3 linked regions of the Lytechinus pictus genome follow. The protein of the gene in region 1 interacts with the protein of each later gene in a biochemical or structural test. Links are inferred from orthologs where the notes say so. Each region holds a gene or a part of one and is shown in the gene's direction. Other genes may lie near its edges.

The links. The genes of interacting proteins can lie anywhere in the genome.
Region 2: the proteins of NEDD8-conjugating enzyme Ubc12-like (region 1) and cullin-associated NEDD8-dissociated protein 1-like form a complex in vitro, tested with the Homo sapiens proteins (2 studies listed by BioGRID). The link is inferred for Lytechinus pictus from reciprocal best matches to the Homo sapiens genes UBE2M and CAND1.
Region 3: of the proteins of NEDD8-conjugating enzyme Ubc12-like (region 1) and NEDD8-activating enzyme E1 regulatory subunit-like, one has a biochemical effect on the other in vitro, tested with the Homo sapiens proteins (4 studies listed by BioGRID, with this or other methods). The link is inferred for Lytechinus pictus from reciprocal best matches to the Homo sapiens genes UBE2M and NAE1.

What each region holds. Positions count from the first base shown.
Region 1 is NC_087253.1:11,989,399-11,996,848, forward strand, and holds the start of NEDD8-conjugating enzyme Ubc12-like, read left to right. Parts: upstream 1-4,241; 5' UTR 4,242-4,445; coding exon 4,446-4,548; intron 4,549-6,351; coding exon 6,352-6,446; intron 6,447-7,450.
Region 2 is NC_087245.1:25,057,999-25,065,947, reverse strand, and holds the start of cullin-associated NEDD8-dissociated protein 1-like, read left to right. Parts: upstream 1-4,898; 5' UTR 4,899-5,043; coding exon 5,044-5,085; intron 5,086-6,937; coding exon 6,938-7,039; intron 7,040-7,949. Other genes in the region: T-box protein 1-like, read right to left, coding at 1-300. UniProt on the Homo sapiens protein: Key assembly factor of SCF (SKP1-CUL1-F-box protein) E3 ubiquitin ligase complexes that promotes the exchange of the substrate-recognition F-box subunit in SCF complexes, thereby playing a key role in the cellular repertoire of SCF complexes.
Region 3 is NC_087246.1:57,534,662-57,542,296, reverse strand, and holds the start of NEDD8-activating enzyme E1 regulatory subunit-like, read left to right. Parts: upstream 1-4,584; 5' UTR 4,585-4,599; coding exon 4,600-4,752; intron 4,753-5,500; coding exon 5,501-5,563; intron 5,564-5,772; coding exon 5,773-5,988; intron 5,989-6,609; coding exon 6,610-6,743; intron 6,744-7,635. UniProt on the Homo sapiens protein: Regulatory subunit of the dimeric UBA3-NAE1 E1 enzyme. E1 activates NEDD8 by first adenylating its C-terminal glycine residue with ATP, thereafter linking this residue to the side chain of the catalytic cysteine, yielding a NEDD8-UBA3 thioester and free AMP.

The sequences.
Region 1 (7,450 bases):
CCGAATCTGATCCATATTCTGTTAGTTTTTGTTGAAATATTGACGGCCTTCTTCATCAAGCTTCGGGTTCAGCTGAGCAGTTACGAACGTTTTTTTTCAAATGGCGGAACCGGAAACACGTATACGGTACAGTCCGTGCGCGCGTTTGTACGGGGAGCTCGGAGGGGGGGGGGGGGGGGGGGTCTTACTTTTTACTTGGCAACCAGACAATTTGACTATTTTCGCCATCATTTATATATCATATTATTAACGTAAAGGAATTGAATAAAGTAAAATTCAAATATTTATTTCTTCTTCCTTTCTTTTTCTTTTCTATGTCTTTTAATTTTTTTCTTTCTCTTTATTCTTTTTTTTAATATGGATAGGATTTAAAAACATGTCTCACAATTTTACTGAAAATATGTTATATAGGCCTACTAGTATGCAAGTAGGATGACAAAGAAAGCAATGAGGAAAATCACAGCTCCAATCCTATGTATTTTTAATTTTATTTCTTTTCAAAAACACACATTTTATCCTTTCTTGCGATCGAAGGAAAGATCCCTTTATAAGGTTCAAGTAGTAAAAGAAAATAATCTTAGATCAAGTGCCGGCAGGGTATTTTGATAAGGGGTGGAGGAGCAAGACAAGCAAATATAAAGATACCATTTTGAAGCGAAACATAAGAAAAGATAATAACTTTGCCAACGAGGTAAAAAATAATATGATATCGGTTGTGACACTTTAAGGATGGAAAATAGTTTGAAAATATATAGATACAAACTTCATACAAATTAGAAAAAAAGAAGCAAAATAAACTGCCATCATATGTGAACAGAGATACAAGATTGTTCTTGCAATTAAAAAACATATTTACAAACTATATATAGCTTCGCATCATAAAAATAGATTGAAAATATCCAAATTTATTTGATTTAAAAAGAAATAGATATAAACCAGCCTGGCTAACATATTGCAAGGTGGCAAAGATATAAACCGGGGATATAAAGCAAAAAATGGGCCTTAAAATGGAAATTAAATATCCTATTTTTAGTTTATCCTATTCCACCTGTAAAAAATATTGTGAATAGGAGAACAAATATTGAAGTAATTTTATTTATAATAATATATTTGTAAGAAAATAGGTCCTTTTTACAAAAAAAATAAAATAAAAAAATAGATGGGAAACTTGGAAAAATGTATTTTCTCGCAATAAAAACTTTAAGGGGCCAGAATCGCATTAAAACTTGGTTATGAAACGTGTAAAACAAAATCTTAGATAGCATTTTAACTGAGATTTATTTTTTAATCAACATTCAACGCTGAACTTTCTTATGTTAATTGTTTATCAATATTTTGTGAAAACAGATAGTGTGCACATCGTCATGAATATTCATTTGGTGGGCTGATGATGTGACATTCCCATTTTTCTTTTTTAATGTTAGATATGAAATTATGATTATCTATTTTTTCAATACATGTGTAAATAATGTGTCCCCATTGTAAAGTTGCTGCATTAAATAACTAATGCGGTTAATTAGTCGTCATTCCAATTGTTTAAGTTCTTGGTAGAAATATGTTGAATAAATCTAATTTCATATATTGTACAAAAGAACATGGGATATGACATCATCAGCCCACCTAATGAATATTCATGAGACATGCCTAAATAAAACTGTTTCATGGGAATATTGCAAATCCTTAAAATTCAACTTAACTTCGTTATTTGTCATCCGATTTTGAATAAATTTTAAGCATTTTGTTTTGTGAATTTTACTCTATTTATTGATTATCTCTAGCGTTGACCTCCCCTTCAATTATTTTCTTGTATTGTTAGAAAGAGATGGATGAAGTAGAATAATACGTTCATGCTTATATTTTTATTCATTACAATATCTCTTTGAAATTCAACCCGGCTTCCTCACAACCATTAAGCTCTAAGAGTGTTAGGTGTGTCCTGTATATTTCAACACGTACCCTTTTAAATATAGTCATTTTTTTATTATTCATCCTGTTTTTTATGAAAAATAAGTGGCGAACAAACAAAACAAAAATGATAATTGAAATTTAAAAGAGCGCATGAAAAAGAAATAACCCTGAAAACGAACAATAGTCCTCAAAATATAAGTTGCCCATTTTGGGGTCAATAATTTTTCGCATTTTTCAGTTCGCGCTTTGCTCCTAGTTTTGATCTAGTACGTATAGTACCCTTTCTCGTAGAAATAGAAGCTATCAAACTTAAAACCTCTGAGTCTCAGTAGGCATAACCCCCCCCCCCCTCGCTGATATAGACCTACACAATGGGACAGGGTGAAATATAATTTTGAAATAGGGCCTATATGTCACAATCTAGCTATCACAAAATTAAATTTTCATATAAAAAATTGTACTTTTTAAAATGAATGGTGCCCTTTTAAGCCATATGGCCTTCTAAAAATATAAGACTCAATACGCTACTGACCTCTCCCGAAACTGAAAAAAAAGATAAATCCCTCACTGGAAATAAAAAAATTAGTCTGTGGTACAAACAGGGCTTCCATACAAGTACTGAAGGAAACTAATTTTTTCATGTACTGTACCACAGAAAATACACCAGTATAGCGTCTGTGATACACTTTCAGTCATATTTCTGGGGTGGCTGCATGAGAAGTACCGCAGGAAATTTTGAAAGTATAGCACTGGGGTTGCCATAGAATTTTAGAAGTGCCTATATTGAGTCCTGCAGGAAATTTCAAAATTTTCATTTACCACAGAAGTATCACAGGGTTTTCATAGAAGTGTCTTTAATAGGATCGAGTACTGCAGGAAATTTCAAAATGTTCATGTACCACAGAAGTATCACAGGGTTTCCATAGAAGTGCTTAGTAATAGGAGTACTGCAGGAAATTTAAAAAATGTTCATATACAACAGAAGTATCGCAGGGTTGTCATAGAAGTACTGCAGGATATTTTAGAATTTTCATGTACAACAGAAGTACGACATAACTATCACAGAGTGATATTGTATACAGTTATGTACAACAGAAGTATTACACAGGTACGACAGAGTACCATTAAGGTATTGCATGAAATTTTCATATTTTTACGTACAGAAGTAGAACTATCACAGAGTGATACCACAGGAGTCCTGTAGTAATTCCTTATACAGTTTTGTACAACAGAAGTATCACACAGGTACGACAGAGTACCATTAAGGTATTGCATGAAATTTTCATATTTTTATGTACCACAGAAGTATGACAGAACTATCACAGAGTGATACCACAGAAGTCCTGTTGTAATTCTATATACAGTTTTGTACAACAGCAGTATCACACAGGTACGACAGAGTACCATTAAGGTATTGCATGAAATTTTCATATTTTCCTGTACCACAGAAGTATGACAGAACTATCACAGAGTGATACCACAGAAGTCCTGTTGTAATTCTATATACAGTTTTGTACAACAGAAGTATCACACAGGTACGACAGAGTACCATTAAGGTATTGCAGGAAATTTTCATATTTTCCTGTACCACAGAAGTATGACAGAACTATCACAGAGTGATACCACAGAAGTCCTGTGGTAATTCTGAGGTACCGTCGTGTATGACAGAAGTATCACACAGGTACAACAGAGTACCACTAAAGTACTGCAGGAATTTTTTGTAAGGGAGGGGCAGCGACAATTAATAAGATTATGAGTTTTATGCCCGGTCCCCCATGCACCACCCCCCCCCCCCCCAACTTCGGCTCAGCCACCATCCTCAATCTCAAAATCGGAGAGGCCTATTAAAAAATTCGGCTTGGTTTTTTTTTGTATGGTAATTTCTAACTGGGGGGCAACAATTAAGTATCCTAACAAAATTGACAAAAACGGATCTGGCTCATTACCCCACTAAACAGAAGTCAGTCGCAGTGATATACGTTTCATTAAAGGACTTGTCTGATGTTTTATCCGACAAGTCCTGTTCTCAGCCAATCAAAATCAAGGAATTTGTCAGATCTGACAATTATCATGATTATATTGTCAGACAAAAATTAATGTTAAACGCTGCATGCATTGGCCATGCATGCAGCTCGGACGTCGGATTAATCTTCTTCTTCTTCTGGAAACAGTGCAGTCCACCGTCTGGTGTATTGTCGTACTAATCGAGAGCTATAGGACTGCCACAGTCAGCTATAAAAGGTAAAAAGAGAATAACCCAAATATTCGGCAACCCCGCCCTGAGGTCATCTAAGGTCATCCCGATGCGGGTTGTATTTGCGCGCACTGTGCTTATAGTGAACTTTGACCTTTGTAAACGCACACACATTTTCTTCCGTGCAGCTTGCACAATACATGATACACAATAGGCGGAACTAAGGTGATGACTGCGAAATCGGACAATGTTTTTTCACGAATAGCAGATTGGAGCAGATAGAGACCTTGAATTTTTAAAAGAAGGAGTTGATGCCAACGAGAAAGTGTTACTGGAATGCACGATGATTAAATTGTTTTCCTTGAAAAAGCAGGCCGAAGCTGCCGCAGATCGGTCGGACGGAGACGGGAAGAGAGCGTCCGCTGCACAGCTGCGACTGCAGAAAGGTGATGTCGAATTGAATGAATGAAATGAAATGAGTGCGTGATCAGCTGAATTGAATGTCCATCGCTTTGCTGTTCTGTCTTCGCTTGAATGTTTTTATGACATACTGAACCGTCAAAAAGAAATACCTTCTGAAATTGAAATAAAGTAAATCTAAATTGATGATTATGAATATGATATAACATTGGAATGCCATGTCAATCAATGATTCAGAATTTCACAAACCTGTTCATTATTATTGATTAGGGGTCTACTCTAGTATAAAGTATAATAAATTGTCAAATTTCTCAAAATAATGAGGAAATATTTAACTAAAATTAAAAGTAAAAAGAATAAAAATCCAGCCCAAGGCCAGGTGAGAGTTTCTTAAAGCTGTTTGTAAAATGTAAGTTAAGAGCAACTTTAAGTTTAAGAATAGACAGCAGGCAGCCGTCTGTTTCGAGGAGTTTTTTAACATTTTTTTATTTTTTAAATTTCTCCTCATACACAGACGGCTCGCTATCGTGCAGCCACCATCAGGGGACTTACAATGCAAAATCCCCCCGTCGGGGCTCTTCAATTTTTGTCTTTAATGAATCAATTTTTTGAAAATTAACGCTACCGAAATGCAAATTAATATTCCCTCTTGGCATTAATTGCCAAAAAAGGGGGAAAATCAAGTTAAAAGGAACAAAAACAGTGACTTACCTCGGCTGTCGCGCAACTTCACTGCCCTGTTTTATCCGAACTTTATACACATAAACATATGGTCATTGAGTCCCCTGTACAGATCGCGCTAGAACTTCGGTCTCTGTATTTGGTGAGTGAAGCCAACGGAGTTCAGCTGAACAACCAACATAACAGAGACCGAAGCTTTTGGTCTACTTTAAGAACAATTGAATTGGTGAACCTTTCTTACCTGCAAAATTATTAATCACAGTTAGAGGGTGAGATCGGTTTGTATTGTCGAATTGTATTTATCTATGAACCTTCAGGCGCCTAATGCATATAAAGTGATAAAAATTATTTCACTATAAATGGTAAAAATGAGACGTTTCTTACCAGACCCGATCTCCCGTAGATCCCTCGATCCATTTGTCGACAAAGCAAAGACAATAGACCTGACCCTTGAATCGCTTCGTGATGACGTACTTCCGACTAGCGATGCCGTTTTGAAGAACAATGTATAGATAAAAATTATTATTTCACAAATACTAAAATTTATTACGTGATTATAAATAATAACAATACTGCTAATTAAAAATAAATCATGTGTTAAATTGTAGTATTTGTGAAATGATAATTTTTATCTATAAATTGTTCTTCAAAATGGCTTCGCTAATCGGAAGTACGTCATACATAAGCGGTTCAAGGGTCGACGCTATTGTATTTGCATTGTGTACATGTGGATCGAGGGATCTACACGACATCAGTCTGGTAAGAAACCTTCATTTTTTTTACATTTTTAGGGACCATTTTTTAAAACCTTCCTTCGCATTAGGCGTAGGAAGGTGTAGAAATGAATAAAATCAACATATTTTACGTGATTCTTTTATGAAAAGATGGATTTCCTAGGGAAATCCATCTTTGTTTACCTGGGTCTCATATACATATATGGGCGGGGGTTCAAGACTCCAATGATGAAGAAGTATATGTCAAAGGATTTTAAAAAGACATCATCATGGAGTCCTCAAGACTAGATTAAACTACCTTTTTAAATTCGGGCCACTATTTTCATTAAGCTTGAACATAATCTTGTTTTAAAAACAGAATGTGAAGTTGGTGTAATATTTCTTATTTGTTTTTTTTTTCTCTGTCATGCTCAGATCTTGGGGAGCTGAATCTACCAAAGACATGTCAGATAGATTTCCCTGATCCTGATGATTTACTTGTTTTCAAACTAGCCATACAGCCAGATGAAGTAAGTGTTTATATTCAATTCTTATATCGGAAACCTTCCTCACATTTGAAAAAATCAAAACTGGTCACATCTGCATTGATCTTCACTTGTTAATTTGTTACATTCAGGTGGAATTACCCATAGGCCTGTATTCTGAACCTGGACAAAATGCCCATATTGCCCCCCCCAAAAAAAAAAAAATTGTTATAGTCTCGCACAATATTTTTAGTATGCAAGTCCAACATTCCATGCAACTTCTTTTTCTAGCTAAAATATATGATCGTTTCTTTGACTGCATAGAAACAAGTTTATCAACTATAAATATCAGACATATTTTTTTATGTTAAGGCCACCGCACACCTTGCGATTGGTCTGCGACTCAATTTTGGAATAAAACGTAGTAGAATTTGATGCTTATATTGAGACTTGGAATATCTTACTGCGTAATGTTTGAAATCATCGTACGAATCCCTATGTTCAAATCTGTGACTATGCTAACATCCTTCTTAGAATAAAAGCAAATTTTATATCTAGTCGTAGTGACGTCATAGCAGTCGTACGATTGGCTACGATTTGAAACTAATTTGGCATTTACTCTAAAATAAAGGCTTACAATCTTACAAAATGGTTAGGCTATATTAGTATTCTTTCAATTAATTTTAACCTCAAATAAAATGATATGTTCTATTCACATTTTCAGAAAATTAGCAATATGCGATATGTTCCGAAATCGGATCGTGTTCGGTGGCCTTTACATGTACATCCCCCTTGGCAGTATGTTGCACAACAATTTTGTTCCTTCACACGAGGGGGTAATTTTGAAAGGGGGGGATTTCAAGTCCAGAGTTGGTGTTGAAAGCACACTTTGGATTGCGTTTACTAGCCCCCAAAACCTATTCTGAGTTTACACAATTAATGCCGAATTGCCGATCACAATATTGACTGCTCAACACCTAGTGAGTGACTTTTCAGGACCATCTTCATTTTATGTTTGGAGCAACAACAACAAAAATACACGGTGGCGA
Region 2 (7,949 bases), on another chromosome or scaffold:
CAAATCATGATGGGTTCCAAAATCGTGTAAACTGTATGACTGTTCGGTGTTCCCATGTCCATTCCTCTGTAGTGACTCAGACTGTCTGTTTTCATCACAATTCTCTAGATTTGACTTGATCTCGCATAATTCAAATTTCGTTTTATTTTGGGAATCTGCTGATTTATCGACGATATTATCTGTTGATTCACCATTAAGATTCTCATCTTCAGAAACGCAAATATTTTCTTCTGGTTCTGTCTTTAGAAAGTTAGTCGTGTCTGTTGCTGCAGCCGCATGCTGAAATTCATCTCCCATCATAATCTTCTGAAGCCCAAAAAAATCTCGAAAAAAAGAAATCGCGCCAAATCAAAAGGCGCAAACGTGATAAAATTCAATCCCTTTAGGACAAAGTTGGAGTGCGAAAATTCGGTTAGCAGTCATGAATAAACAAAGAAGTGACAAGGCGTGAACGCTGATGAAATACCTCTCTTAAATGTTAACACTTTTCCTGAAATTCCCCTGGCGTGATGTGTGTGCGATCATCTCATTTGGGCGTGAGACGATGATGAACCGTCAAATTTGCAGGAACTGTCAAAATCCAACCTGCGAAACGTCTTTTACATGAAAAGACTGAACACAATAGTGAAGAAGTTAGTTAAACTTTGCCTGGATTGAGCATCGCATGCTATCATACACATTGACGTTTCGCTTGGTTGACTCTCTTTATATTACGTCATAAGTAAGGCACCACTCTTCGGGGACTTGTTAATGAGGCCTCCCTGTCTGATCTCGTGGGGCGACCAGACAATGGCGACTTGAACGCTGATTGGTCAAGAGGGAGGCACGCGACTTGAAAGTAACATTAGTTGACAAACGGATAAAAAGAATTGAGTTATAGAATTGGCATAGAAGATGATTGTTTATTTTGGAACTACCATATGCCAAGGGGTTTTGATGCTTATTTCATGGACAAACAGAAGACGATATATAAATTCCTTGATCTGCTAATTAATATACGTGTTCAGCTTTCTCTATCCTCCTCCTCCCGGGCCTCCTCCTCTCTTTCTTCTGCTCCTTTAAGCTATTAACTGCTTCCTTCATTTCTGAAAATTCATGCATTATTAGTAGCGGGAAGTTTTTCTTCAAGTCTTCTTCTTACTCTTCCCTTTATTATATTTCCAATATACTTCAAGATGATTAGGCCTACTATATACTACTACTACTACTACTACTACTACTACTACTACTACTACTACTACTACTACTACTACTACTACTACTACTACTACTGCTGCTGCTGCTGCTGCTGCTGCTGCTGCTATTGCTGCTGCTTCTACTACTACTACTACTATTACTACTATTGCTACTATACTACTACTACTACTACTACTACTACTACTACTACTACTACTACTACTACTACTACTACTACTACTACTACTACTACTACTACTACTACTACTCCTACTCCTACTACTACTACTACTACTACTACTACTACTACTACTACTACTACTACTACTACTACTACTACTGCTACTGCTACTTCTACTACTACTACTACTACTGCGACTACTGCGACTACTGCTACTATACTGCTACTACTGCTACTACTGCTACTACTACTACTACTACTACTACTACTACTACTACTACTACTACTACTACTGCTGCTGCTGCTGCTGCTGCTGCTGCTGCTGCTATTGCTGCTGCTTCTACTACTACTACTACTACTACTACTACTACTACTACTACTACTACTACTACTACTACTACTCCTACTACTACTACTACTACTGCTGCTGCTGCTGCTGCTGCTGCTGCTGCTGCTTCTACTACTACTACTACTACTACTACTACTACTACTACTGTTACTACTACTACTACTACTACTACTTCTACTACTACTACTACTACTACTACTACTACTACTACTACTACTACTACTACTACTGCTACTACTACTACTAATACAAGTAGTGCCTACTACTATTATACTACAATCATAAATGTTTTCGTAAAAAGTAGCTACCGCCTCTACTTTTCTATTAATTTTTTTAATGCTCGAAAAACAGTCATTGATGCTGTGACTTTTCTTGGTTTCAAGTCGTACGTACACAGCGTGGTAAATGGTTCTTATCTTAAATCAAAGAGTAAAACATAATAATATGACGGTGATTCTCGAATCCCCCTTGCTTTCTAGGAATGTGTTCTCAAGCCTCTTCCTCATCAGGGGGTCATTTCAAGGAAGTCTTCTCTCATGACATCATGAATAAATAATTAGTGGTCGAAGTTCAAATCCGACCGGAAGGGATTAGATGACCACTCACCAGACAGGAAAAGGTCAATGACCGCTTTGTGTTATCACCATTGGGTATACGGAACGCGCGTAGCAATCTCATATACACCTAATTATTTTGTTTTGACAGCAGTGGCGTACAGATGGGGGCCCTTGGGATGCTTGTCCCCCCAAAAAAAAATCACGACCAAGAAAAAAAAAGGAAAGAGAGAAGAGTGAAATATGATATTACTTTCTGAAAATTATGTAAAAATATATCACAAAACTTGATATTTATTATTAAATTGAAAATATTAAAAATAAATTTTGCCCAATACGCCATATCTAGCCCCTCAATGCCTTTGGGCTCATTACGACACTGTTTGAAAGTGTAGCATTTGCACGCCAATAGACGTTGTTAATAATATTGTAAAGTTTGGCGAGCGATTGCCTAGACAAATTAAGGGGGAATTCAGATGTAAAGAATTATGCCCATTGTGATAATGATGGTAAAGTTTATAGTGTACATGTAAAGCTATTCTCCGTATAAACGTGTATATATATATATATATATATATATATATATATATATATATGTGTGTGAAGTTATACATGTACTACAGCTTTGGCAACTCTTTTATTTAAATATTGTGTGAAAGAAATGGATGAAGAGAACAATGGTAGGCGTAGCTTAAATCAAGGTTCCCCAGAGCAATGTTTTATACATAGCAATGTTTTCCCGGCTTTAAGCCAGGAGCTCTGGGGAACCTTGATTTAAGCTACGCCTACCATTGTTCTCTTCATCCATTTCTTTCACACAATATATATATATATATATATATATATATATATATATATATATATATATATATATATACAAAACTGACGTATAGCCCATATTCAGTTTTGTCAACATGACAATACAGTTCTTCCATGGGGTCCATATACAATAAAAAAATAAACACATATGAAAAGAAGCATAACATATACAGTAATCAAACAAAATAACACAAAGGACATACTACAGCCTGGTTTGAGCATCGGGAGGTGAACATCTTGGGGAGGTGGAACTAATCCGCTGTTGAAAGCAGAAGAAGGGGTCCAAATTTCATTTTGCTTGCCAGTGTCGGAACTCCTCTGTCTCAGCGGGAGAGTGCACGGTGCACTCAGTGCACCCCCAGCCTATACGCCCTTGCGACCTGTTGCTAATATATGAAAGATTATGAAATTCAATAATTTGGCAAGATTTTACACAAAATCGTTTTATGAAATGCATTAAGCTGCTATCAAATTATTGAAACAAGTTTTTCACAAGGAGCAAAGGACTGTTGTATATATAGGTAAGAAATAATACACTCTAAATTCCAAGGATTTAAAATAAATCCAGATCGGCTGTGAATAGTGACCAGCTGAATATTAGATTTAGATTTAAACCTTGTTGATTTAGATATAAATCTAAAAGATTTAAATCTAAATCTTTTGAGATTTAATAGTTAATCCTTAAGATTCAAATGAATTTTAAAAAGATTTGGCTGGTCACTATTCACAGCCGATCTGGATTTATTTTAAATCCTTGGAATTTAGAGTGTAAAATTATAGGCCTACAATAATTATTGTGGAAAGCCATATAACACAGTTTATTTGTTCACGCATACAGTTTTTAAGAGCCGGACAGCTAAAGTTGAGGGCAAAAATATTGTTAAAGGGAATTAATAAAAAAAAAGTTGTATTAATGTTGATGGTGACTATTCTGCTTAGATGATGGATTAATAAAAACAACACAATAATGAAAAATAAGCAATAGCATCAATGATGATAAGTACAATGGTTTTAATTATGATATCGATAATCGCTAAAATAATGATAATGACATTTTTCCTTCGTTATCCTTTGATGTTTTTTTTTTTATTCTTCCTCCTTCATTTTCTTGTTTTCTTCTATTTTTCTGTTCTTCTTCTTAGTTTCATTTCCCTTCTCTCCTTTGGTTTCTCGTCCTTTTCTCTTTCTGTTTCTCAGTTCCTTTTCTTTCTTCAACTTTATTTCACGTTTTCACCCAAAATGTGAATAGAGATAAAAATGAAAATTTTGGAGCGACCCCTTGCTTGTCTATTTTTCTTGCAGAGAAACTTAGAAAGTATTGAATTTTTATAGACTTAATATTTTGACAGCCCCCTGAAAAAAAAATTCAACGAGCGAGTAGGCCTATTGCTCATAGTTATGAAGCTATACTTTTATAGATGATTGAAACACAAATTAATATTATTCTCTGTAACCGATGAAGAATCTCGAATTATTAGAGGCAAGATACCAGCTTTTGATTCACTAAAAATTAAAGATCATTTTGGTCCCGAGAAATTTCACAAGGCCCCCCTCCCCCACAACGGAGAGGGGTTCTCTATAAAATGAAGGTCATTTTTATCAATTTTTTCACACCTACCAGACCTCCAGGGGTGCTGCCTATGGAGAATAATACACGCAGCACCCCCGGAAAAATCTTGGGGTGCTTCAGCGGGGTTACAGGGGTAGGGCCATGTGGGACTTACTTATCGAGGAGTAAAAAAATAAAAGAATATAATAATTTTGGAAATAATGTATCTTCATCTTCTGCTGATAATGAAATCGAAAATAAGTTCAGCTCGATCGTTCTCGCGCATGCGCGTAAGAGTTGACAGTGCCATGTTGATCTTGTGAACTCAGATCATCTTCTATTAGGACTATTCTGCTTTACCTATAACCTTTTGAGACGTTCATCATCAATCTGGGTTAAGGAAAATCAGGAAACCATGGCAAGCTTCTCTTACATCATCTCCAATCTCTTGGAGAAGGTAATGGATACAAATTTTGTGTATTGTTCAGAGCAGCGTAATTTGCCGGGTACTGCCCAATTTCAGTCCCACACGTTGCGTACGGCGTATGTAACTCAGCGCAGTTAGTAAGGGAACACGGCTCCGCCGCCAAATTATTGTCGGCGTCGCGTCGGTGGAGTTCAGCCTCGGGATTCTTGTGAATGTGTGCGCGGCCAAGAATAATCGGGTTACCGTTGGTATAAGGTTCCAAATATTTCAAACAAACAGAGCAACAAAAAATAAAGTTTCCATTTATACTATACTATAGAGTCTTGCATCAATTTCATGATTCTATCTGTCCGTTATTCATTTATTGACCATGATCTGTTGTCACGTTGAAGAATTTTTTAAAAATAAAAATTGAAAAAGAGAGAAAGTTATAATTGTGACAAGTATGGAAATACTCTACAAGAGGGACATACTATAATGTAAGAAGAAGAAGGAAAAAAATAACCGGGTTCCAGTCTATCCATGCAATGGCAATGCAAAAAAGGTAAAATGCAAACTCGTTAGTTCGCCATCGGTAATATTTAATCAGCAGTGTTCAAACTTCAACTTTGCCAAAAAAAATTATACTTATAGTCTACCCAAATATGCGTATGAGATAAAAGTATCCACAAATTCTCTCAAATATTCAATTTTTCCCCTGATATATTGCATTTTTAAAAGTAAGAACGTCACGTACTTCCAGACCAGATCAATGATGGGTTTGCATGATAGGGTATAATTTAAAATGTTAATGCACCCTTTATTTGACATGTGCCAAGATTTAACATTCAATCTTGTTTTCACAAGCCAGCACTTATCCAATCATCACAACATTTTGTCATGGAATGAAGTTAAGTTGCGCAATCATAGGGCCGATTGGCAAGCCAGCTAGACAATTGAAGCCATGCAGTATTGTGATTGTCCTGCTTCATGATCGGCTCATTGGTAATGCGCAACAGCTTTCCTTAACAAAAGCCAAAATGGTGGTGTAAACATTGCCAGATTTTCTTTCTGGTTCGTCAGATATAATTTTTAAATACAGTAAAGAGGTTCTTGATTGATTCATAATAAGTTGAAATAATGGTAATTTCATACATGTATGTTCAAAGTTTAGTCAAATCCTGTTTTTCCATTACAGGTTTAAAATCCCATTTGATATCATGAAAGAAATAAATTATAAGTGTGATATGAGTTGGTCCCTCATTAGCATAGTGCTTGTGTTAGCTACATTGTTTTGCGATGTAGAAGTCTAGGCAAAAGTTAAAAGTGCTATTAAAACATTTTGATGTACACCTGATTTTGATGAAATTTTCATTGTTATGCTTGTTTGAGTGAAAACTATTTGTCATTTGGATGGACTTGCCTTCAAACAAAATAATGGTTAAAAAGTCAGGAATATAATTGACCTGTAGATGAATTTTTATTTTCTGAGGAGACAAAGTTTTCAGCCCTGATTTAATTAAGTCTCAATATTGTAATGTTTTCATATTTTGCAATCTTTCCCATTTACATTACAAATCCTTTTCCAAGTATGTTATTTTTTTATTGGGTACATGTACATACATGTAGACCACGTGATTTGCTGGGATGGCTTTCAGTTGTAGCTTTTGGGAATGGCAGGATCATGATTCATTTACTTGATGGGATAGTCCCTCATGCAGCTAAAAAAACTTGATAACTCTCTCCCCAGTTTATCCTTTTTTTTCTAAAGCCCCCTTTTTAAGAATCATTTTCTGTCTTGGTATGTTTTATTGCACATCACACAATCTAGTACCGGTAATTAATAGTTATATTTGGATTTGAAAAAAAACCCAACAAATTATTATATTAATTTTCTATACAGATGACGTCCAGTGATAAGGATTTTCGGTTTATGGCAACTAATGATCTGATGACTGAGCTTCAGAAAGACTCCATCAAGCTTGATGATGACAGTGAGAAAAAGGTAAGTACTGTAATTTTCCCAGCATGATTTACAACAGGGAAAAACTTACACAGTGTTTTAGGGTGATCTGCCAGCCAAAGTGTCACAATAGGCCTGATAGGTTTAGCCCCTATGTGTTTAATAGAAAAGATACCGGTAAATTGTGTAAGAATGAATTATTGTGATCATTTTTTTTGAAAAACTAAATCAAAATAAAACCTGCATTGAAACTAATGATTTTTTGGATGATGTTTGCTTGAGGTAGAATTTTTGTTGAACGTTTCTACCCCCACCCCCCCCCCAAGACAGTTGAGAATTGATAACAAAATTACGTTCATAGCTAAGGCCAAGAAATTGAATGTACTGTAAACTACCACATAAATGTCCATGGTTGGTGGCTGCAATCCCTTTGGGAATTTACAATAATAGGAAATAAAACTCAAGTATACATGCATGATAGATATTAGCTCCAATGAAAAGCTCTCATGGAAAGTGATTTAAGGTTTTGCACCACCTATTGTACATCCCTAATTTATATTTGACACTTCCATTTTGTTAAGAAATTTACATGATTTTTGTGATATGTAAGATATTGGTATACTTTATTGCTATCAATGGGCATCATGGCACAATAAACATTAAGTACTATTATTTGTGTTGTTACCCATGGAGCAAGCTGGGATAGGCGTTCATAAAGAGATTGTGGATTTCAAATTTCAGTAGATTTTTGAAATCCTAGTGCAATTGTTTTTATTTTCAATTTACGATTATCAGTACTTACTTATTCTTTAATCAACATAAAGCATACACACAAGTTAGGCCTGATGCATGAAGATTGGTTATTGACGTGTGTATTTGCCCATTATGAATATTGTAACCCCTTTCCCCTAGGTTTGAGTTCATAATTTGTTTCAAATTTTTCTCATAAAAA
Region 3 (7,635 bases), on another chromosome or scaffold:
TTTCAAGTTTGGCTTATTTTTCACAACACAGTTATATGCACAGATCAGTGACATGCAAATGAGACAGTCAATGATGTCCACATGTTCGGGGGGGGGGGGACTAATCTTGGTTTCACTTGACAATGAAGAGAAAATTTGAATATTTCATCTCGTAGAATTAAAAGAAATAGTTTGCATGCCGACTGGGATGTACATATAAGTTTCTAGTCAAGCAAAACTTTAAAAATGTCATAACTTAATATCTTTACATCAGATTTTGATGAAATTTTAAGTGTTACGCTCGTTGTGTTTTTCTCTTTTTATTCAAATCAACTTTGTGGGGGTGGACTTGTCCTTTTATATCGTTTTCAAGTAATTGTGTCAGGAGAAAACAAAAATGAAATTCTTTTATCAATTCTGTCCATATGCTGCATGGTTCATCGTTCTTGCAGGAGGCAAAAAATAAATTTATATAAGAAAGTCTTATTTTATTTACTTTCAGATAAAAATTGTGCTAAGGAGAGATTAAGGTTATGTGTAAGACAGGGGTGGTGGTAATGGTATGTTGGTTAAGGTTGTGTATGAAGAAAGTCAAGTGATTGCTTGCTTGTGCAGGAGGATATACTTCAAGAAACTTGTTGTAAGGCATAATGCAAAATTATTTATAATAGAACTTAATTGAGAGAAAAGTATTTGGCACGTTAAGATGCACAATAATGTACATGTGATTGAAGCAAATGAGAAATGAAAGGAGTAAAGGTAGCTACATGTGTCACTGAGAGAATTGCCTGTGGTGTTATATTTATAGCATAAATCTTTGTTTAAAAGTTATTTTATTTTAGGAAATTTAGTCCCTTCAGTTTGAAAGTATAGAGGGCGGACCATGGACCACTGACCATGGAAAAAAGTCCCCCCCCCCACCAAAAAAACACAAAATAAAAAATATTACCAAGAAAAGAAAGAAAGGTGAAACACATTATTTTCTGAATATTATGTCAAATCTATCACAAAATTGGATATTTGATATTAAAATTTTTAATATTTTTCCTTGCTCGCAAGTTTTTATTTTACCTGATATGCCATATTTAGCCCACTGATATTTCCCCAATTTCAAATATATTATTATGATTGGGTGGAATACCCTTTACACTTATCCAGGATTGATAAGTCTTTATTTTTCTGATAAGGAAATTGTGTTTCCTTTAAGGAAAAAAATACTGCAAGCATGGTGAATAGCTTGACCCCCCCCCCCCCTCCAAAGCAAACTGGAGTATATAGGTTAAGGTTGGGAATAATGCGATTGCAAGAGTGACCAGTGAGTGTGGAGGAGCTACCAATGAGTATCTCAGCTCCTTTTAGAGATGTTGGTAGAACTGACGTATAGAATAGGGAGGGGGGGCCTTGGGGCTCTTGCCCCCCCCCCCCCAAAAAAAAAAAAAAAAAAAAAAAAAAAAAAAACACGACCAAGAAAAAGATAAAAGAAATGAGGGTGAAATAGAATATTTTTTGATATTATGTGAAAATCTAACACAAACTAGGATTTTAATGTCAATTTAAAAAAAAATTTGCTCGCTTAATTTTTTTTTTTAAATCAATTTATCGAGATACACCATATAAAAAGACAAGAATAAAATGAATTGAAAATATTACTTCGAATGGGAAAGTCAATTCTGAGGGAAAGGAAAAGAGGCACGCTTGTGGACGCGAGATCAGATCAAGGTCATGTCGCTTCACCCCACGCGACGCTGGCCCCACCATTTACCAAGTACATAACCCAAACAAAGATTCAATTCCATATTTCCATTTTCTATCAAAGCTAGCTCCGGGCAAAGTTCCACCGGACTTCGATAAGGTAGGTAGGATTATACAATCAGATTGGTTATGATTTAATTCAAACAAATGTGCACTTGATCTAGATGTAATTGGCGTGTAACGTTAGATTTATTTTTCCGTAGATCTAAGTAACTTCCTCAGGCCTAAAACGCAGTTACGGCACGCTATTATAGGCCTAGATCCACGTCTAACTGCACTGTAAATACGATGGCGATCGATCTGGACTTCATATTAGACCAAAAAGGCAAAAAAAAAAAAAAACTTTGGTCTGTGTCATTGTTCCGCTGGACTCCGTTGCCTCCACTAACCAATTGAGAAATAAGAAATTGAAAAAAAATGTGTAAAACCCCCCGAAAAAGCCGGCTGCTGCAGCTGTCTAAAAAAGGTTAAAACTTCTTCACGTTGCAGTGCACCTACCACACGGTACCGTACATTGACGGAGTTTGAACTTCTCGATACGGTACGATGCTGCAGGCGCAGTCGAGCTAGCTCGCACGCAGGCAGCGCTAACGTTAGTCCGAACCTAAGTTGGTAAATATTAACAGATAAGTAATGACAATGTTCGTTGTCAACACCTCATTGCTAAGAAATTCAAGTTCATGCTGCTGATACATGATTTTGGGGTTGAGTTCTGCTTCCTAACTCATGTGATGCAATGGCGACATTTCATATGGCCCTAGCAGACGAAACTCTCAAATACGGCACTGGGCATGCTCAGTACTGCTTTATTACACTGAGCATGCTCAGTGCAGTGTTATAATAGTATGCTAGCTTCAGTCCATGATTTAATCCATGGACTAAAGTTATCACCGGGGTATAACTCAGCCGTGGGTTAAATTTAGCACCGGGTGCTAAAGTTAGTCCATGGATTAGTTAGTCCACCGTTTGTGAATAGCGCGGTGGACTAACTTTATACCCCGGTATTAGTTAACCCCCGACTAAATTTAACCCCGGTATAACTTTAGTCGACCTTTGTGAATTCGGGCCAAGATGAAATGAGATGAAGTACAAAGAGTTACAATTGATCTGTTCAGTCCATCAGTGTCATAATTTTTTCTGTAGGATATTTGCTCAATGTCCTTTGAAAACAAAGAGAAGCATACTGAAAGCTTGGCGTTTACCAGCAAAAATGCTGTCCTGCAGAGTTCCTACGAGGATACCATAAACAGAAACACAAACAAACAGAATAAACAGAATTGTCCAGAAAACAGTGAATGTAAGGATATACATCATTTCTAGAAAATATTTTGAACAAACATGTATGTATTTTAGATGACATTACTGGCTTTCTATAGTTGTGATTGATCAAATCAATCGCAACTCTTTACAAGAGGCCCCATTTTTGTCTCACCTGCATAGCAGAGTGAGACTATAGGCGCCGCTTTTCCGACGGCGGCGGCGGCGGCGACGGCGACGGCGGCGGCGGCGGCGGCGGCGTCAACACCAAATCTTAACCTGAGGTTAAGTTTTTGAAATGACAGCATAACTTAGAAAGTATATGGACCTAGTTCATGAAACTTGGCCATAAGGTTAATCAAGTATTACTGAACATCCTGCCTGAGTTTCATGTCACATGACCAAGGTCAAAGGTCATTTAGGGTCAATGAACTTAGACCATGTTGGGGGAATCAACATCAAAATCTTAACCTAAGGTTAAGTTTTTGAAATGTCATCATAACTTAGAAAATATATGGACCTAGTTCATGAAACTTATACATAAGGTTAATCAAGTATTACTGAACATCCTGTGCAAGTTTCAGGTCACATGATCAAGGTCAAAGGTCATTTAGGGTCAATGAACTTTGGCCAAATTGGGGTATTTGTTGAATTACAGCCATAAATTTGAAAGTGTGTTGGTCTAGTTCATTAAACTTGGACATAATAGTAATCAAGTATCACTGAACATCCTGTGCGAGTTTCAGGTCACATGATCAAGGTCAAAGGTCATGTAAGGTCAAAGAACTTCGGCCACGTTGGGGGTATTTGTTGAATTGCCATCATATCTCTATAAGTGTATTGGTCTAGTTCATAAAACGTGGAAATAAGAGTAACCAAGTATCACTGAACATCTTGTGCGAGTTATAGTAGTTTTCAAAATCAGCACTGCTGCTATATTGAATCGCGTGATGCAGGTGAGACGGCCAGAGGCATTCCACTTGTTCATATATGTTTATGAAAGAATAACTTGATGATGACAAGTGACTAGTAATGTGTCTAATGGTATCTAAAAATACCATTATTATTATTATTACTGCCTTATCAAGATGCACTGGTTTAAGGGGTAAGGAGATGTTCAGTTCAAGTGACTAGGCTTGGTAGGATGAGCCATAGTTCTTTTAAGTCTTGTTAGCTGACTCATTGAGAGGCTGGACTATGGTGGTTGGTGATTAGGCAATAATAGCAATTTGATATTTCTTTAATACATGGGGAGCGAGTAAAAATGTCAATGTGAATGACTGAAAGGATAACAGTAGTTATAAACTAAATAACATAAATAATAATTGAAGAGGCTATTAAAGTGATGGGTGACACTGCTAGTGATTCAACAAACTTGAAATTGATTTTGATTTTTTGTTGTTGAACCATCCTCTGAAGCACAACTGTATGTAAATTTGTTTATTATTGACAATGCTGCGTATCATACTTGGAGAAAGATACTATGAGGATTGGGCATTTGTGGTTATATATGAGATTTACAGAGATCAAACAAAATGTCTTTACTTGCCCCACCCTGAACCAAGTTTTACCTATTATTAAAAGTGGAAAAGAATTGCTGACAAAGCCAACATGGATTTAAAAAAAATCATAAGTCTCTTTTTATGTCTTTCAGTAATCGAGTCTCATCCAGACAATGCCCATGATGACCTGAGACTGGATCGTCCATTCTCTAGTTTTAAAGAGTTTGTCGGGTCATTTGATCTTGCTTCTATGACAAAACAGGTATGATATGGCCTCATAAAGGCTTAGAGGTGCCAGAAATAATTTTAATGCCACTATTTAATCGTCTAGATTCTTGGAATTCTGGAATCAAGACAATTCTGATACAGAACGACATCAGAGGCCTTTAAAATCAGTTGATGAAAAGCGATATATAAAGCTTATTTTCGAAACCTGATAGAGCTATTCTTAAGCAAAATACTCTATTGGCAAGCAGTGAAAATGCATAAACCTAGATTATAATAATTGCTGTGTTTTGTAAGTTTATAAGCTTCAATTAGTGTTTAAGACCCCTGTTACACAGGATCTCCTTTGAGACTGCTTTGGATTCGGTGTAAACGCAAATCTGCCCGAGACTGGTCTGAGAAAGGTTTGCTTGATGCACTACAGGTGGAACGATTATCCAAACAACAAACACAGCGCGTGCTTGGTGCCCTGCCAAACCTATCTCAGACAGCTTTGGTAAGTTGGTGTAAACGCACAGAAAGCTGTCTTGGGGTGCCTAAAGGCTCGTTAAGATTCCGGTGTAATAGGGGGTCAAAAATTTAGGTCAACTTTTTGGAAACCAGTCTCGGGTAGGAAATCCGGTAAAACAGGGGTATAATTTGTCAATATCACTTTTAAGTTCAGTCAGGGTCTTTAATGCCCAACAACAGTCTCATTTCAGGTTTGGTGCTGTGGCTAATGTAAAAATCATAAATTCAAACTGTAGTAGCAATAATCATGACCTTTGTTGATTTTATTATTACAGGACCACATGCATACGCCTTACCTTATCCTTTTACACAACTACTTGGAGGAATGGAGAAAAGAGGTAAGATATGATTGGATTTGATTATTTTTATGCTTCGGTAAGAATAATACAGTTGTCTGAAAACTGAGCATAGGCCTATGCAGATTGATTTTTATCATTCTTTCCCCCCCTTTACCTTCTGTTGTGTTTCCCAAACTCTCTCTTCTTTCGTTTGAGAAAGATACTAAAACAGAAGTATAAAGTGAAATAATATTTGTTTTGTTGAACAGCATGACGGTGAGATACCCAAGAACTACAAAGAGAAATCTGCCTTCAAGGAAATGATCAGGCGAGGGATTCTGGTCAACGAACATGGCGTGCCTGAGCTGGAAGAGAACTTTGATGAAGCCATCAAGGCTGTCAACGCTTCCCTGACGAAGACCAGGATCCCAAGCCAAGTCCAGGACATCCTGACAGATCCTGCCTGTACTAGTCTAACTTCAGAGGTAGGTTGGACTGCTTGATTCTCCCAAAGACCTCATGCATTGAGTGTCATCGCGCTGCCATTAGAGGCTGAAGCTATTGCCTTCAAACATTTGGGATCTCCAGCTGGCGCATCTCTGACAACATTGTTTACCTTTATTCCTATAAAAGGAGGGCGCTATAAGGTTATCATGTCATATGCATGAGGTCTCTTGATGTCAAACCACAAATTAGTTACTCAGCTATTACTGTGGTGTACAAATATTTAAATGTTTCCCAAGCATAATGGCCTGTATTCACAAAGGTAGTTTCACTTGTACCATGGTACAAATTCATGGACTATGTATGTTTTGTGCATATCATAACGCCTATTTCACTGTGAAAGAAGACTCCAACCAAATTTGTCCTTTTTGCAAAGAGGGCTTCATTTTTTGTTGTATGATGTGCAATAATACAAGAAATCTGCATAGTCCATGGTACAATTGAAACCTCTTTTGCAAAGTTAGTTTTATTTTATATAAAAAGCTACACAAAATCTTAGCAGGTTTTTACATAGGATTCTGTAGAACAGTGTTGAAGATTTCCCAAACAGCCTAAACTTCCAATTTGAGATTGAAGTTATTTTTTCTTCATTGTTTTTGTAGAGTTCAAATTACTGGATCTTAGCCCAGGCAGTCAAACAGTTCACTGAGAATGAAGGAAATGGAGCACTCCCCCTACGAGGATCTATCCCTGATATGACGGCTGATTCCAAGAGATACATACAGCTCCAAAATGTGTAAGCAAAAGCAAATACTGAGTTTTATTTTGTTTGTTATGGTGTCAAAATATGTTATGAAGTAAAGATTGATTAAAGTTATATATATATTTAAGGAGTTAAGTTAAAAAAAAGTTGTTACTGTTCACAACTATCATATGATTAGACTTCATCCTCTATGAAGATCCATCCCTCATATGACTACTAGTTTCAAGAGATACATTCAGCTTACAGTTACATGTACATACATGTCTGTCCTTTGGATAGGATGTTAATGAAGGCCCATGGAGAGGAGAGTCACCAGCTAGTTAAGAACCCACTGCACTCTACTATAAGACTACATGTAGTACTGGTGTAATGGTCCACCTGCACAACCGCTATCAGTTATATCGGGAGAGAGATCCGATGGTCATAGTGATTCAGTTTGATTTTTGCCTTCTTGGCACAGGTGGCGGCGCCAAACAAAATAATATATGATAATAGTAAATAATAGACAGTCAAGAATCTATTTAATTTTACATTATATTCATATTGGACATTGGTATTGACTTCAATAGTAGGTCCTGCTGGAGAGTGTTGAAAGAAAACAAATCAGATTTATCTCTATGACTGGAAGGGTGTCCAGTAAGTCTAAAAAAATCTATTTAGATTTTTGGTAGTGGTTGGTTATTTAATTTGATGGTGATATTTCAATTCAAATTCTAAAATGAATTTATGGAAAGTCAACTGTAGGGTTTTAAGATGTAGGTGTTTTATAGGGATAATTTTGTTCCATTTGCAAATGTTACAAAACCCAATGGCAAAAAACCCCGATTGTTTCAGCTACAGAAGTTGATTTTGTGGGATCGGAATGTGCACTGCAATTAATATTCATTAGCTAATTTGCATATTCATGAGCAAGTTTGATTTCACC